Linked DNA regions of Macaca fascicularis. The protein of the gene in region 2 interacts with the protein of the main gene of each other region in a biochemical or structural test. Links are inferred from orthologs where the notes say so. Each region holds a gene or a part of one and is shown on either strand. Other genes may lie near its edges.

Region 1 (6,886 bases), on a different chromosome or scaffold from region 2:
TCCCTTCTCCCCGTCACTTTCAGGTACACCAGTGAAACGTAGGTTTGGTCTTTTCACGTAGTCCCATATTTCTTGGAGCCTTTGTTCATTCCTTTTCGTTTTTTTTCCTCTAGTCTTGTCTTCATGCTTTATTTCATTAAGTTGATCTTCAGTCTCTGATATCCTTTCTTCCACTTGATCGATTTGGCTATTGATACTTGTGTATGCTTCACAAAGTTCTCTTGCTGTGTTTTTCAGCTCCATCAGGTCATTTATGTTCCTCTCTAAACTGGTTATTCTAATTAACAATTCCTGTAGCATTTTATCAAGGTTCTTAGCTTCCTTGCATTGGGTTAGAACATGCTCCTTTAGCTCAGAGGAGTTTGTTATTACCCACCTTCTGAAGCCTACTTCTATCAATTCGTCAATCTCATTCTCCATCCAGTTTTGTGCCCTCCTTGGAGAGGAATTGGCGATCATTTGGAGAAGAGACATTCTGTTTTTTGGATTTTTCAGCGTTTTTGTGCTGGTTTTTCCTCATCTTCGTGGATTTATCTACCGTTGATCTTTGAGGCTGATGACCTTTGGATGGGGTTATTGTGTGGGGGTCTTTTTTGTTCATGATGTTGTTGCTTTCTGTTTGTTAGTTTCTCTTCTAACAGTCAGGCCCCTCTTCTGCAGGTCTGCTGCAGTTTGCTGGGGGTCCACTCCAGACTCTGTACACTTGGGCATCACCAGTGGAGGCTGCAGAACAGCAAAGATTGCTGCCTGTTCCTTCCTCTGGAAGCTTTGTCCCAGAGGGGCACCAGCCTGATGCCAGCCAGAGCTCTCCTGTGTGAGGTGTCTGTCAACCCCTGTTGGGAGGTGTCTTCCCAGTTAGGAGGCACGGGCATCAGGGCCCCTCTTGAGGAGGCAGCCTGTCCCTTAGCAGAGCTGTTGTGCTGGGAAATCCCTCTTATCAGGATCAGTTGCTCTCTTCAGAGCCACCAGGTGGGAAAGATTAAATCTGCTGAAGCTGTGTGCCCACAGCCACCCCTTCCCCAGCTGCTCTATCCCAGGGAGATGGGGATTTTATCTGTAAGCCCCTGACTGGGACTGTTACCCTTCCTTCAGAGATGTCCCGCCCAGTGAGTAGGAATCTAGAGAAGCAGTCTGGCCACAGCTGCTTTGCCACGCTGTGGTGAATTTTGCCCAGTCCAAACCTCTCACCCTCCTTAGTACTGTCCAGGGAAAAGTGTCTACTAAAGCCTCAATAATCACGGATGCCCCTCCCCCAACCAAGCTCCATCATTCCAGGTCAACTTCAGACTGCTGCACTGGCAGAGTTTCAAGCCAGCGGTTCTTAGCTTGCTGGGCTCTGTGGGAGTGGGACCTGCTGAGTGAGACCACTTGGACCCCTGGCTTCAGTCCCCTTTCCAGGGGAGTGAATGGTTCTGTCTCACTGGGGTTTCAGGCACCACTGGGGTACAAAAAAAAAAAAAAAAACTCCTGCAGCTAGCTCGGTGTCTGCCCAAACAACTGGCCAGTTTTGTGCTTGAAACCCAGGGCCCTGGTGGTGTAGGTACACAAGGGAATCTCCTGATCTGCAGATTGCAAAAACCGTGGGAAAAGCGTAGTATCCGGGCCAAGTAGCACAGTTCCTCACGGCTTCCCTTGGCTGGGGGAGGGAGGTCCCCGGCTCCTTGCACGTCCCAGGTGAGGCAATGCCCCACCCTGCTTCTGCTCACCCTCTGTGGGTTGCACCCGCTGCCTAACCAGTCCCAGTGAGATGAACCGGGTACCGCAGTTGGAAACGCAGAAGTCGCCCCCCTTCTGCGTTGGTCTTGCTGGGAGCTGAGACCGGAGCTGTTCCTATTTGGCCATCTTGGCCCCTCCCCTTTTTTAAATTTAAAAAAGTTTATGTAGCGATGAGGTCTCCCTATGTTGCCATGCTGGTTTTGAACTTCTGGCCTCAAGTGATCCTTCCACCTTGGCCTCCCAGAGTGCTAGGATTACAGGCATGAGCCACCATGTCCAACCAAATTTGTATTTCTCGATGAGCAGTGATGTTGAACACCTGTTCATCTCTCTGTTGGCCATTTGTATCTTCTTTCTCGTCTAACAGCTCCCTTGAAAGAGTGTGTGCCCTCAGTCTATGTCTTCTACAGAACTGGCGTAGCTTCAGAATACGAGCAGTTCCCCAAAAGAGTGTTTTACTTAGAGCATAAGAAGACGAAAAATAAATCATTATTATATGTGGATGAGGTTTTTCATAAAATATAACTGTTAATATATTTTTGGTTAAAATGCATGTGTGCTTTTCTTCTTTAGGTTACATAAAGAAAGGATGATATCTCTAAAGGTACGTGGATTCATCCAGATTTGGAGCCAGAGGACTGGGATGACTAAGTTGAAAGAAGCTCTCATTGAAACAGTGCAAAGAAAAAAGGAAATTAAACTGGTGGTCACTTTCAAATCTGGAAAATTTATAAGAATTTTTCAGCTGAGTAATAACATTAGAAGTGTGGTCCTTAGACATTGTAAAAAAAGACAAAGTCACCTGCGTTTAACTTTGAAAAACAATGTGTTCTTGTTTATTGACAAATTATCCTACAGAGATGCTAAACAGTTGAATATGTTCCTGGACATAATACATCAAAACAAATTTCAGCAACCCGTGAAACCTGATGATGATTGGAGTGTGTTTGAAAGCAGGAATGTGCTGAAGGAAATTGACAAAACTTCATTTTACGGGATTTGTAACAAGCCAAGTTATCAGAAGATGCCTTTGTTTATGTCAAAATCACCAACACATGTGAAAAAAGGGTTATTAGAAAATCAAGGTGGGAAGGAGAAAAACCCACTAGCATCTGGTCTACAGATGAATGAGGACATTCTGAAGGAACATAACCCTGTACCAAACAAGAAATATAAGACAGATTCCTTGAAATATATACAAAGCAATAGGAAGAACCCATCAAGTTTAGAGGATTTAGAAAAAGCTAGCGATTTGAAACTCGGGCCTTCATTCAAGACCAACTCTAATGGACATCCTAACCTAGATGAGACTGTTCTTGCAACCCAGACTCTCGATGCCAAAAATGGTTTGACATTTCCATTAGAACCAGCGCACAGCCAGGATGACCCGAGATGCAACGAAGCCCAGGTGCCTCTTGACTCTCATTCAGAGCAACTGCAGCAAGGGTTCCCCAATTTGGGAAACACCTGTTACATGAATGCAATTTTACAATCGCTGTTTGCAATTCCGTCTTTTGCTGATGACTTACTCACTCAAGATGTCCCATGGGAATATATTCCCTTTGAGGCTCTTATTATGACCTTGACCCAGCTGCTTGCTTTGAAAGATTTCTGTAGTACAGAGATCAAGAGAGAATTACTTGGGAATGTTAAAAAAGTCATTTCAGCAGTTGCAGAAATATTTTCTGGCAACATGCAGAATGATGCGCATGAGTTTTTAGGTCAGTGTTTAGACCAGCTGAAAGAAGACATGGAGAACTTAAATGCCATTTTGAATACTGGGAAAAAATGCGGGGATGAAAATTCATCTCCACAAATGCATGTTGGTAGTGCTGCCACCAAAGTGTTTGTTTGTCCTGTTGTTGCTAATTTTGAGTTTGAATTGCAGCTCTCCATTGTCTGTAAAGCCTGTGGTCATGCGGTTCTCAAGGTAGAACCTAACAATTATCTCTCCATCAACCTGCACCAAGAAACAAAACCACTTCCTTTGTCCATTCAGAATTCTTTAGATCTTTTCTTTAGAGAAGAAGAGCTTGAGTATAACTGTGAGATGTGTAAGCACAAGAGTTGTGTTGCAAGGCATACATTTAGTAGGCTCTCCAGGGTCCTTATCGTTCATCTGAAACGCTATAGCTTCAACAATGCTTGGTTGCTGGTGAAGAATAACGAGCAAGTTTATATTCCCAAATATTTAAGCTTATCTTCTTATTGCAATGAAAGCACCAAACCACCTCTTCCCTTGAGCAGTAATGCACCTGTTGGGAAATGTGAAGTCCTGGAAGTCTCTCAGGAGATGATTTCTGAGATCACCAGCCCATTGACACCATCAATGAAGCTGACCTCAGAATCCAGTGATTCCCTGGTTCTACCCGTTGAACCAGAGAAGAATGCCGACCTACAAAGATCCCAGAGAGACTGTGGAGAAGAAAGCCAAGAGCAGCATCAGGGAGACCTGGAAAATGGTTCTGCACTAGAGTCAGAATTGGTCCACTTTAGAGATAGGGCAATAAGTGAACAGGAGCTTCCAGTGGCTGACTCACTGATGGACCAGGAAGACATTTCTCTTCCTGTGATATGTGAAGATGGAGGGAAGCCGATCAGCAGCCCAGACACAAGGCTTGTCGAGGTTCATCTTCAAGAAGTGCCTCAACATCCAGAACTTCAGAAGTATGAGAAAACCAATACATTCGTAGAGTTTGATTTTGACAGTGTCATGGAGTCTACCAATGGCTTTTATGAGTGTAAAGAAAACAGGATTCCAGAAGGATCTCAAGGAATGACTGAACAGTTCCAGCAGTGTTTTGAGGAGAGCATCATAGAGGAATTTCTTCAGCAGGCACCACCTCCAGGTGTTAGGAAACTGGATGCCCAGGAACATGCAGAGGAGACCCCCAGTCAGTCTACAGAATTAAGACTTCAGCAGGCTGACCTGAACCACCTCGAGGCATTGGGTTGTGATAACCCAGGAAACAAAAACATTTTAGATACAGAGAACACAAGAGGTGAAGCCAAGGAACTGACAAGAAACGTGAAGATGGGGGATCCTCTCCAGGCCTACAGACTCATCAGTGTTGTCAGCCACATTGGGAGCTCCCCAAATTCAGGCCATTACATCAGCGATGTGTATGACTTTCAGAAGCAGGCCTGGTTCACATACAACGATCTACGTGTATCAGAAATCTCAGAGACCAAAATGCAGGAGGCGAGGCTTCACTCTGGGTATATCTTCTTCTACATGCACAATGGGATTTTTGAGGAGCTTTTAAGAAAGGCAGAGAACTCTCGGCTACTTAGCACACAGGCAGGAGTGATCCCTCAGGGGGAATAAGACGACGACTCTTTGTACAGAGCTGCTTGGCAAACTCACTCGGCCTCACTTCATCCTTGCAAGAAGAATCCTGTACTTCACTCAGAATGAAGGAACAAGTATCTCAGGATGAAAGCTCAATGAAAAACACTTATTTTGGGGTATATCTATTTTAACTGCTTCAGACACCTAGATCCCAGAACTCAGGTGCATATGCATATTTTCCCTACAAGATTAGAATGGTGCTCTTCATGTGTTGACACAATGGTTTTCAAAATGTTGTTCTCCCACCGGCAACAGCAGCAGCTAGGGACTGATTAGAAAAGCAAATTCTTGGGCCCCCTCCAGACCAACTGACTCAGAAACAGGAGGTGTGAGCCAGCAATCGGATGGAGATGCTAGTGCTCATGAGAGTTGGAAGAACACTGGTAATGTGTGGAGTATCTTGGTGTATTTTGCTACTGTTGATATGGATTGTTTATGTTAGATAAATGATTTTCACTGGATTTTTTGCGTTCCCTTTATTTTGTCCCACTGAACCTAAGACTAGGTAAGAGTCACTCCAAAAGTGGCAGCAGGGAAATTCCAACAAGAGAGTGCCCAAAACCATTCTGAGATCAGGCCAGTTGCGATTCCAAAGAAAGAAGCACTAAACACCAGAGGGATCTGTCCGGAGCATTTATGAGGGGAACTTAGAGAGTGCTGCAGCATATCCTCAGGCGGACAGTGAGAGAAAAAGCATGGCCAACTGGCTGGGCACTGTCACTCATGCCTGTCATCCCAGCACTTTGGGAGGCCAAGGTGGAAGGACTGCTTGAGCAGACGAGTTCAAAGTCAGCCTGGGCAATATATCAAGACCCTGTCTCTACAAAAAGTAATTTAGCAGCCAGGCACAGTGGCTCACACCTGTAATCCCAGCACTTTGGGAGGCCAAGGCAGGCGGATCACCGGAGGACAGGAGTTCGAGACCAGCCTGACCAACATGGTGAAACCCCATCTGTACTAAAAATAGAAAATTAGCTGGGCATGGTGGCGGGCACCTGTAGTCCCAGCTACTTGGGAGGCTGAGGCAGGAGAATCACTGGAACCCAGGAGATGGAGGTTGCAGTGAGCCGAGATCACACCACTGCACTCCAGCTGGGGCAACAAAAGCGAAACTCCATTTCAAAATAAATAAATTTGCCAGGCATGTCTCAGCTACTCAGGAGGCCGAGGTGGGAGGATCACTTGAGTCCGGGAGTTCAAGGCTGCAGTGAACTATGATCGCACTCCAGCCTGGGTGACAAAGACCCTGTCTAAAAAAAAAAGGTGGAGGATGGTCTACCTTGGTGTGTCTGCTGCCGTGAGACCGTCAGGGTATGGGGTTTATATAAGTTTATAAGGAATTTGGTCGAGGGCCGGGACCAGTTTCTTTTAGTGTTTTGGGCAGCAACCTAAACCTAAATACCTCTATCAGTGCCTGGGATTGTTTTAGGCTCTGGTTTGGATTCAAGCCTTCTGGGAAGAACCTGCAGCTTGGCTGGTGAGAGTGGTCAAAGCACTCCATGATTTTCAGTCAGGACACAAAAAGAGCAGGGGGGAATAGTTTTCCTTTGTAAAGTTACGAAAATAATAACCTCACCAATACATTGGCTGGCTTCCACATGTGTTTGCGACTGGTTACTAGTAAAATTTGCTATGCAGCAATCAACTGTATTTACCATTTTCCAATAATTTCAGGGCATAACATCAGGGTTATATGAAAAATGCGGTATATTAAAATCCATGTGATTTTTGTGAATTCAAAAGCACTGTAAGATGTTGCTCATGTTATTAATATGAATAAGATGATAAACCTATCCCCATAAATGTCCATTTCCCAGT
Region 2 (6,788 bases):
TCTTAGTGACTTTCCCAACCCATGATGGTCACCTTATTCAAAACCTAGTTTTAAACTTGTCCCTACTCAATGGAACCTTCTGTTATTAACTCTATTTTCAAATTATGGCTTAAGTGTTTAATTTACACTATATTCACAGTTTTAAATCTGTGGTCTATGGTTAACTGTTTTGTGTTTACTCCAGTCTCATATCATACTAAGTCAGACATTTTAAGGAGGTAATCCTAGGATTCTTCTGTCATCTATTTTTTTTTTTTTGACACAGAGTCTCGCTCTGTTGTGCAGGCTAGGGTGCAGTGGTGTGATCTCAGCTCACTGCAACCTCTGCCTACTGGGTTCAAATGATTCTCATGCCTCAGCCACTCAAGTAGCTGGGATTACAAGCTTGTGCCACCATACCTAGCTAATTTTTGTATTTTTAGCAGTGACAGGGTTTCTCTGTGTTGGCCATGGTGGTCTTGAACTCCTGGCCTCAAGTGATCTGCCCGCATTGGCCCTCCAAAGTACTGGGATTATAGGTGGGAGCCATCGCACCAAGCCCTATTCATCTTTTATAGTACCTCAGAGTATTATGCACAGATGAGAATGCTCATTAAATGCTCAGGACCAAGTACACTAAAAAGGAAATCAGTTTTTTGTTTCCCCTTTCCCATGTTAGGTTTGTTTATAGAGTACTTCAGAAAGTACTGAGTGACACTGTAAATCCAGTGGAAAGGGCAACTGACTCACAAGTGAGAAATCTCATATTCAATTCCCAGCTTTACCATTTACTTAGGCATGCAGCTTCTGGCAAGTCAAACTCTATGACTGCTTGTCAAGATCTGTAAAATGGTATATCATTTGCCAGGTCAACCCAGGATTAGTTGGTCACCAACTAAATTCTACAGGAGACCATGATCACTGTACGTAAAGAACTTCTAAGGTTACTGTAGAAAACAGTTAAATACTGGAAAAAATGAATGTGTTTTCATTTTAGAACTGGAAAAGACCTTAAATGATCTTGTTTAATCCCTCAGTTTACATAAGTAACCACAGGCCCAGAAAAACGTGGTGACTTCCTCAAAGTTACAAAAATATATTATGGCAGAATCAGTACAGCATCTACATTTTCTAATTTTCAGTCCAGAACACTTTCCACTATACCACCCTGTGTAACACTTCTTGCAACCCATCCCCTCTTTTATTCCAATATTCTTTACAGCCAGATCTAGATGGTAAACACTAAATGACTTTTAAAAAGTACCTAGGCAGATTTCTGAGGCTGAGACTTTACCTAATTTGATTGAACTGAACTGAATCTAAGATGTGACAAACTAATACTATTGAGTTACAATATTAGAAATGCAAGATCAGCTGATGTCTTAGAAATATGTATCTACTAAATGATTGCATATTTGGCCTGTGGTTGAATTATTTTTTTTTACAGTTTCTAATTATATTGATATAATGCAATTCAATTATATTGAGAAATACATAATATGATTTTCTTAATTTAGAAGGTAATATTCTCATACAATATAAAATATTGAAAGCAACATAAAGTAGTTTTTGTTTCTGGTCATCTTCCTCTGTTATCTTACAACTGAACTGGAAGTGTAATCTAAGTTGACAAATAGCTAATAAGTGTCCTTGGTTCACTCTGGATTGTGTAACACTGGTTTAATGTATGCAAATGAAGAACATGATGGAAATTATGTAATGCTTTCAATATCAGAAAGATCCAAATACAATCTTTAATGCAAAAATGAACTGAGTATTAAAAATGAAGGGGAATAAAACAAACAAAAAACCCAAATGACTGCCTAATATTAAAAACAAATTTTCGTCTAAAAACAAAATCCTACTCCCCAGAAATGTCCTAAACACACGCACACCCACATACACACAAAGATTGAAACATTATCTAAATTGAGAGAAGGGTCTTGGAAACACAGAAACCTAACCAGAAGTGAAATAGCTTTAGGGGAAGAACATCAAAATGATAACTACCTCCTTAGTAATTTGTTTTTCCATGAATCAAGAATGTAAAAAGCTTTAGAAAGTAGCATACAAAAACTAAGGTTGTAAGAACCAAATGAAGTAAGTTTGTGAAAGCATTTGGTAGACCATAAAGCACAAGTTATTATTATATAACAATTTGTAGTCTACAAGCATAGCAATTCACCACAGAGGAGACGTAAACGCTTATTTAAAAACTGCAATTCTTGTATACTGACTCATGGAATTTTTATTCTTAAAAAAGAATATTAGCCATGAAAGTTGGATCAACTATCCACTTCTGGAAAAGGAATTTATCATAGCCTCAATGTAAAAAAAAAAAACTTAAAAACATTCCCCCCTCTTTTCAAAATACAGGTCTTCTTTTAGCCATGTGACCTTAAAGCAGGTCACATTTCCTCTCTGGAACTAGGTTTCCTAATATGTGTCAGGCCCTGTGGTAGGTGTTTTGCATATAATGTCTACTAAGATCTGTTATGCAGATAAGATGAAACAGAATTTATTAGCCCTTTCTAAAACTAAAATTCAAAGGGGTTAGGAAACTTGCCCCAAATCACACAGCTAATAATGGCATATCTGATACATTGAACTTTCCTCTAATTCCAAAGACCTTGCTTTTCCCACCATATTATCTTGTAAAATGAGGATGTTCTCAATGATCTCTAAAGTTACTTTATGTGATAAAAAGTATATAATTCAGTAATCCATTACTCTTCCAAAACATGCACAGGAAAAAAAAATTTATTTGTTGAACGTTATCTCACTACTTCGAACTTGCTGACACTTAAAAATAATTTTAGAATTTTAAAGTAGACATAACTTGTTGACAATCTATAATATTTCACTAGGTTTTTCACGGGATATATAACGCAAGTGCTTAATAAATTAAAAAAACGGCAAATAAATGGTAAGATATAGTATTTTCAGCCAAAGTTTTTAACAAGTTCTAAAGTCTCTTTAAAAAATATATATGCAGCTTTTACTTTTCTAAATTTTATAGTCATTAGAACCCAATTTACCTCTCTGTTAATCTGAAAAGCAACACTTTAAAGTCACTTTGAAATAGCTTGTTCTAAAATGAATTACTGCAGAATAAAGAAAGGATATGGGTTTTCTGATAGCGATTTCCAGTCTAATGTTATATTCTGATTGTCACCGATCATTCGTTATCTCTTCAGAATATGCTACTTGAAACATCTTTTGATCGTAGACCAGTCTGTGTTACTTATGGTGAAATTCACCTACGTTAGCCCAACTGAAAGCCGAGCGTTTAAACATTACGAGTATTGCTGTGCGGTATCGGAGAAACTGAGAACCATTCGATGCTAAGGGAAACACTTTATTAGACTTGATGATCTACTAATTTAACAAGCATTTATTGAGCATCCCCTACATGCCAGATACTGAAGTAGAAGTCGAACATAATACAATTATTGGCCATTAAGAACTTCACGTCCAGCGGACTGAAACTCCAGAACGGCTACGATCTTCGCTGAAACTACTACTTACAGATACGAGAACTGGAGGACCACACTGTCTCACCAGTTCATTCTCCTGTTTATCACCGGAATATCAAATCCAAAAGCAAGAGTACTCAAGACAGGAAAAAAGGCAGCTACTCCCAAGCAGTTGAGCTCAGAGAGTAACCCCCACTCCCACGTCAGTGAAGGCTGTTGGGTCTCCCGGGTGGACCCCACAGGGTCCCGCGAATTAGAGGGGCCGGGGAGGCACCTTCAGAGCCGGGACCAGACAGAGGCAGGGGCGGGCCGGGCCGGTACCGGCGTCTCCATGCAGGGCCTCGCTCACCTCTTCCACCTCGATTTCCTTGTAGTCGATCTCTTCAAAGTTGAGGACTTGAGAAGGGGCTTCGATCATCTCACCGGCCGAAGACGAGGAGGAGGAGGAGGCGGCAGAGGCTGTAGACATGATCCCTCGCGGCGCCCGGTGGGGCCGGGAGCGGTGCCGCCCGGACAATCCGGGTGAGATCCACGCCCACCCGCCTCCGGACCGACCCTCAGGCTGGAGCCGCGCAGTCCTGCTACCCGGCGATCCGTGGCGGGGATAGCGGCAGCGGCCACAGCCGGGTCCGGATCTGGCTCCGCTGCGTTTTCCGCCGCTGGGCCCCGCCCACTACACTTCCGGTTCCGGGCTGAAATCGGAAACAGGAGGTGGGCCGTAAACTCCGGGGGAGGGAAGGGGAGAATTTTGTGACTTGGAAAGAAAAGGAGGGACAGGTTGGGGGTGGGGTGGAGTAAACTAAGAAGCAAGCTTGGACCTCTAGAACAAATTTCGCGAGACCTTTATTACAGGGCCTCAGCAACCGGATGATACCGCGAGAGAGGACGCCTGACGTAATTAAAGTGCGCGAACGGAAGTGGCGCGGAACATGACGGAAAATCAGCACGGTTGGTCCCTTAAGGACCAGCGGGAAAGATAAAAGCTGGCGTTTAGTCTCTGCTGTGTGAAGTATGTCTTGGCCTCTCTTTCTCTCCTTTGAGCTGCCAGCAGACGGGCGAGGTGGTGTTGAACTGTGTTTTTTGTGACGAAGCTTGCTTTTAAGTTTCATCCCTCAACTAAGTTGACCTGTTTCTTTAAGACGGCTTGCAAAATGTGTTTTCCTCAATGTGGGATATGGAAGGAAGCAGTTGCTCCTGTTACTTTGAGCTAGTCCCTGACGCTATGAGAAATTCTAAAAGAGCGAATCAGATCATGCAACATGAATAACTATGGAGGCTGAGTGATCAAAAACAGAAGTTAATATTTTGGTGTTACAAACTTTACACAGATTAGGTGGATAAGATATTTACACTTTGGTGTGTTCATCTCAAGTTATGGATTACGAGTGCGGGGCACTAGTGCTTTAGATTGGTAAATGAATCATCAACAGTCTCCTTGAAAATCAAATATTTTCATCACCATTTTCAGGACGTGAGAAAATACACTCAGAGTTTAAAGCAATTATGGTCCTTACAAACTAGATCAATCTGTCCCCAAGATGGTCAGTATTGCTCATGTTGTACTACCAGCACAAGTTTTAGTTTTAAACTAACTGTTGAACTTTATATAGTCCGTTTGACATAAAGCCTAACTGTGGAAAATTGGAGTTAGAGATGAAGATTTAAAGACCAAGGATGGATTCCTGCGAATGTCAAATTCTAAGTTTCAGTAAGAGACTGAAAGGAGGAAGTGAGGAAAATAGTAATTGGAACATCACCAGAGGTGAGCTTTCCAATGAAGAAGTAGCCAACCAAGTATATGCTGTACAGAATTATGTTAAACACATTTGGGATTGCAACTAGATCATTGGATTTGACCATCAAGAAGTTACAAACTTCTTGGAAACGTTCTGTCACTTTTTATTCACAGTTCTAGTGACTCGCAATGACAGTTTGATGAGTGGATAAAAAAATGAAAGAAGCAATAATTTCTTTCCACTGTACACTCTTTGTTTGCATGATCTTACCCAAGGTCTCTGTTTCTCATACCATTTTTATAATGATGACTTCTAATCTCCGAATACTCAAGATTTTTCCTGAATTCTGGACCTATTGGACATCTCTATTTAGATAAACAACTAAACTTCAAGATACCACAGCAAATTCAAAAGTTGTCACCCACCACAAATATATTTCTATGTGATTTTCCTATATCACGTAAGGATGCCATCACCCAGTTGGTTGTCTGAGAAGTCAGGGCATGTGAAATGATGTGTGGTGCACTGATACCCAATATAAGCTGATTTAATCAGTGGCACAGTCATTTTCACCTGTCATTCCCCTTGCATTTCCAAACAAGGATGGTCACTTCTTACCTTGTGCTATAACTGCAGGTCTATATCTGATTTCCCTTTAACACCTTGATCTTGCTGCCAGGTGGGAACTCAATAAATACTTACATATTCTGTACAAATGAATAGCTTTTGTCAGTCCTCCCTTTCCCTGGAGTATAAGACATGTTTTCTGTACCTTCAGTTTAGGACTGGAATCTTGACAAAGGGCTAATTACTACAGCCATGATGCAGTTCTCCTGCTTGATTATTTTTCCCCAAAATTTTGTTACAAAAATGTCAAATATAGAGAAAGGTTGAAAGAATGTTTATCATAATATACATATGTGCATCTCTCCATTCATCCGTATTTACATCCATCTACCATTTTGCTAGATGCATTTCGAAGTGAATTGATTACATGATTTTGAATATCTTCTACCCCAACACTTCTGTGTTTTATCCACTGATTTGGACTTCTGATATTGATGCCAGTCTAAAATCAATTTTTGTCCAACTTGCTTGGAGATTATTTTTTTCTTTTTTGTCTGCCTGCGCCTTTTCCCTAGCTTCTGATAATAGATGGAAAGTTTCATCAGTGTTTATGTCTCTGGGTTCAGTCATTCCCAAGGTTCAATCCATCGCTCACATTCTGTGATTTGGTTATGTGAGCTAGTAAATTACCATTTCATTTAAGCTGGTCCCAGCTGCATTTTTTGTATGACAAAAAATGCAGGATTATCTTGCAACCAAATAATCCTAAGTAATAAAGTTTAAATGCAGAGGAATGATGGAGGGGAACTGAACCTCTCTCAGTTCACTTCAATTTTGACTTTGCATTTCCTTTAACTTTCATGAATAAAGGATAGAAGCTTGACTTCACAATTTCATGTCAGCTTCAGTCACCAGTCCATATGTCTCTACAAATTTCCAGATACATATCAAAACTATTTAGGTAAATTCCTTGAAGTCCCTCTGAGTTCGAGCACTCTCTACCATTCTCCCTCATGTCAGCACCCTAATA

Evidence for each region.
Region 1: the proteins of MAP3K7 (region 2) and USP29 form a complex in vitro, tested with the Homo sapiens proteins (2 studies listed by BioGRID). The link is inferred for Macaca fascicularis from reciprocal best matches to the Homo sapiens genes MAP3K7 and USP29.

Annotation. Positions count from the first base shown.
Region 1 is NC_088393.1:64,939,941-64,946,826, forward strand, and holds USP29 (ubiquitin carboxyl-terminal hydrolase 29), read left to right. Parts: upstream 1-2,289; 5' UTR 2,290-2,305; coding exon 2,306-5,044; 3' UTR 5,045-5,934; downstream 5,935-6,886.
Region 2 is NC_088378.1:84,780,741-84,787,528, reverse strand, and holds the start of MAP3K7 (mitogen-activated protein kinase kinase kinase 7), read right to left. Parts: upstream 4,133-6,788; 5' UTR 3,925-4,132; coding exon 3,805-3,924; intron 1-3,804. UniProt on the Homo sapiens protein: Serine/threonine kinase which acts as an essential component of the MAP kinase signal transduction pathway. Plays an important role in the cascades of cellular responses evoked by changes in the environment.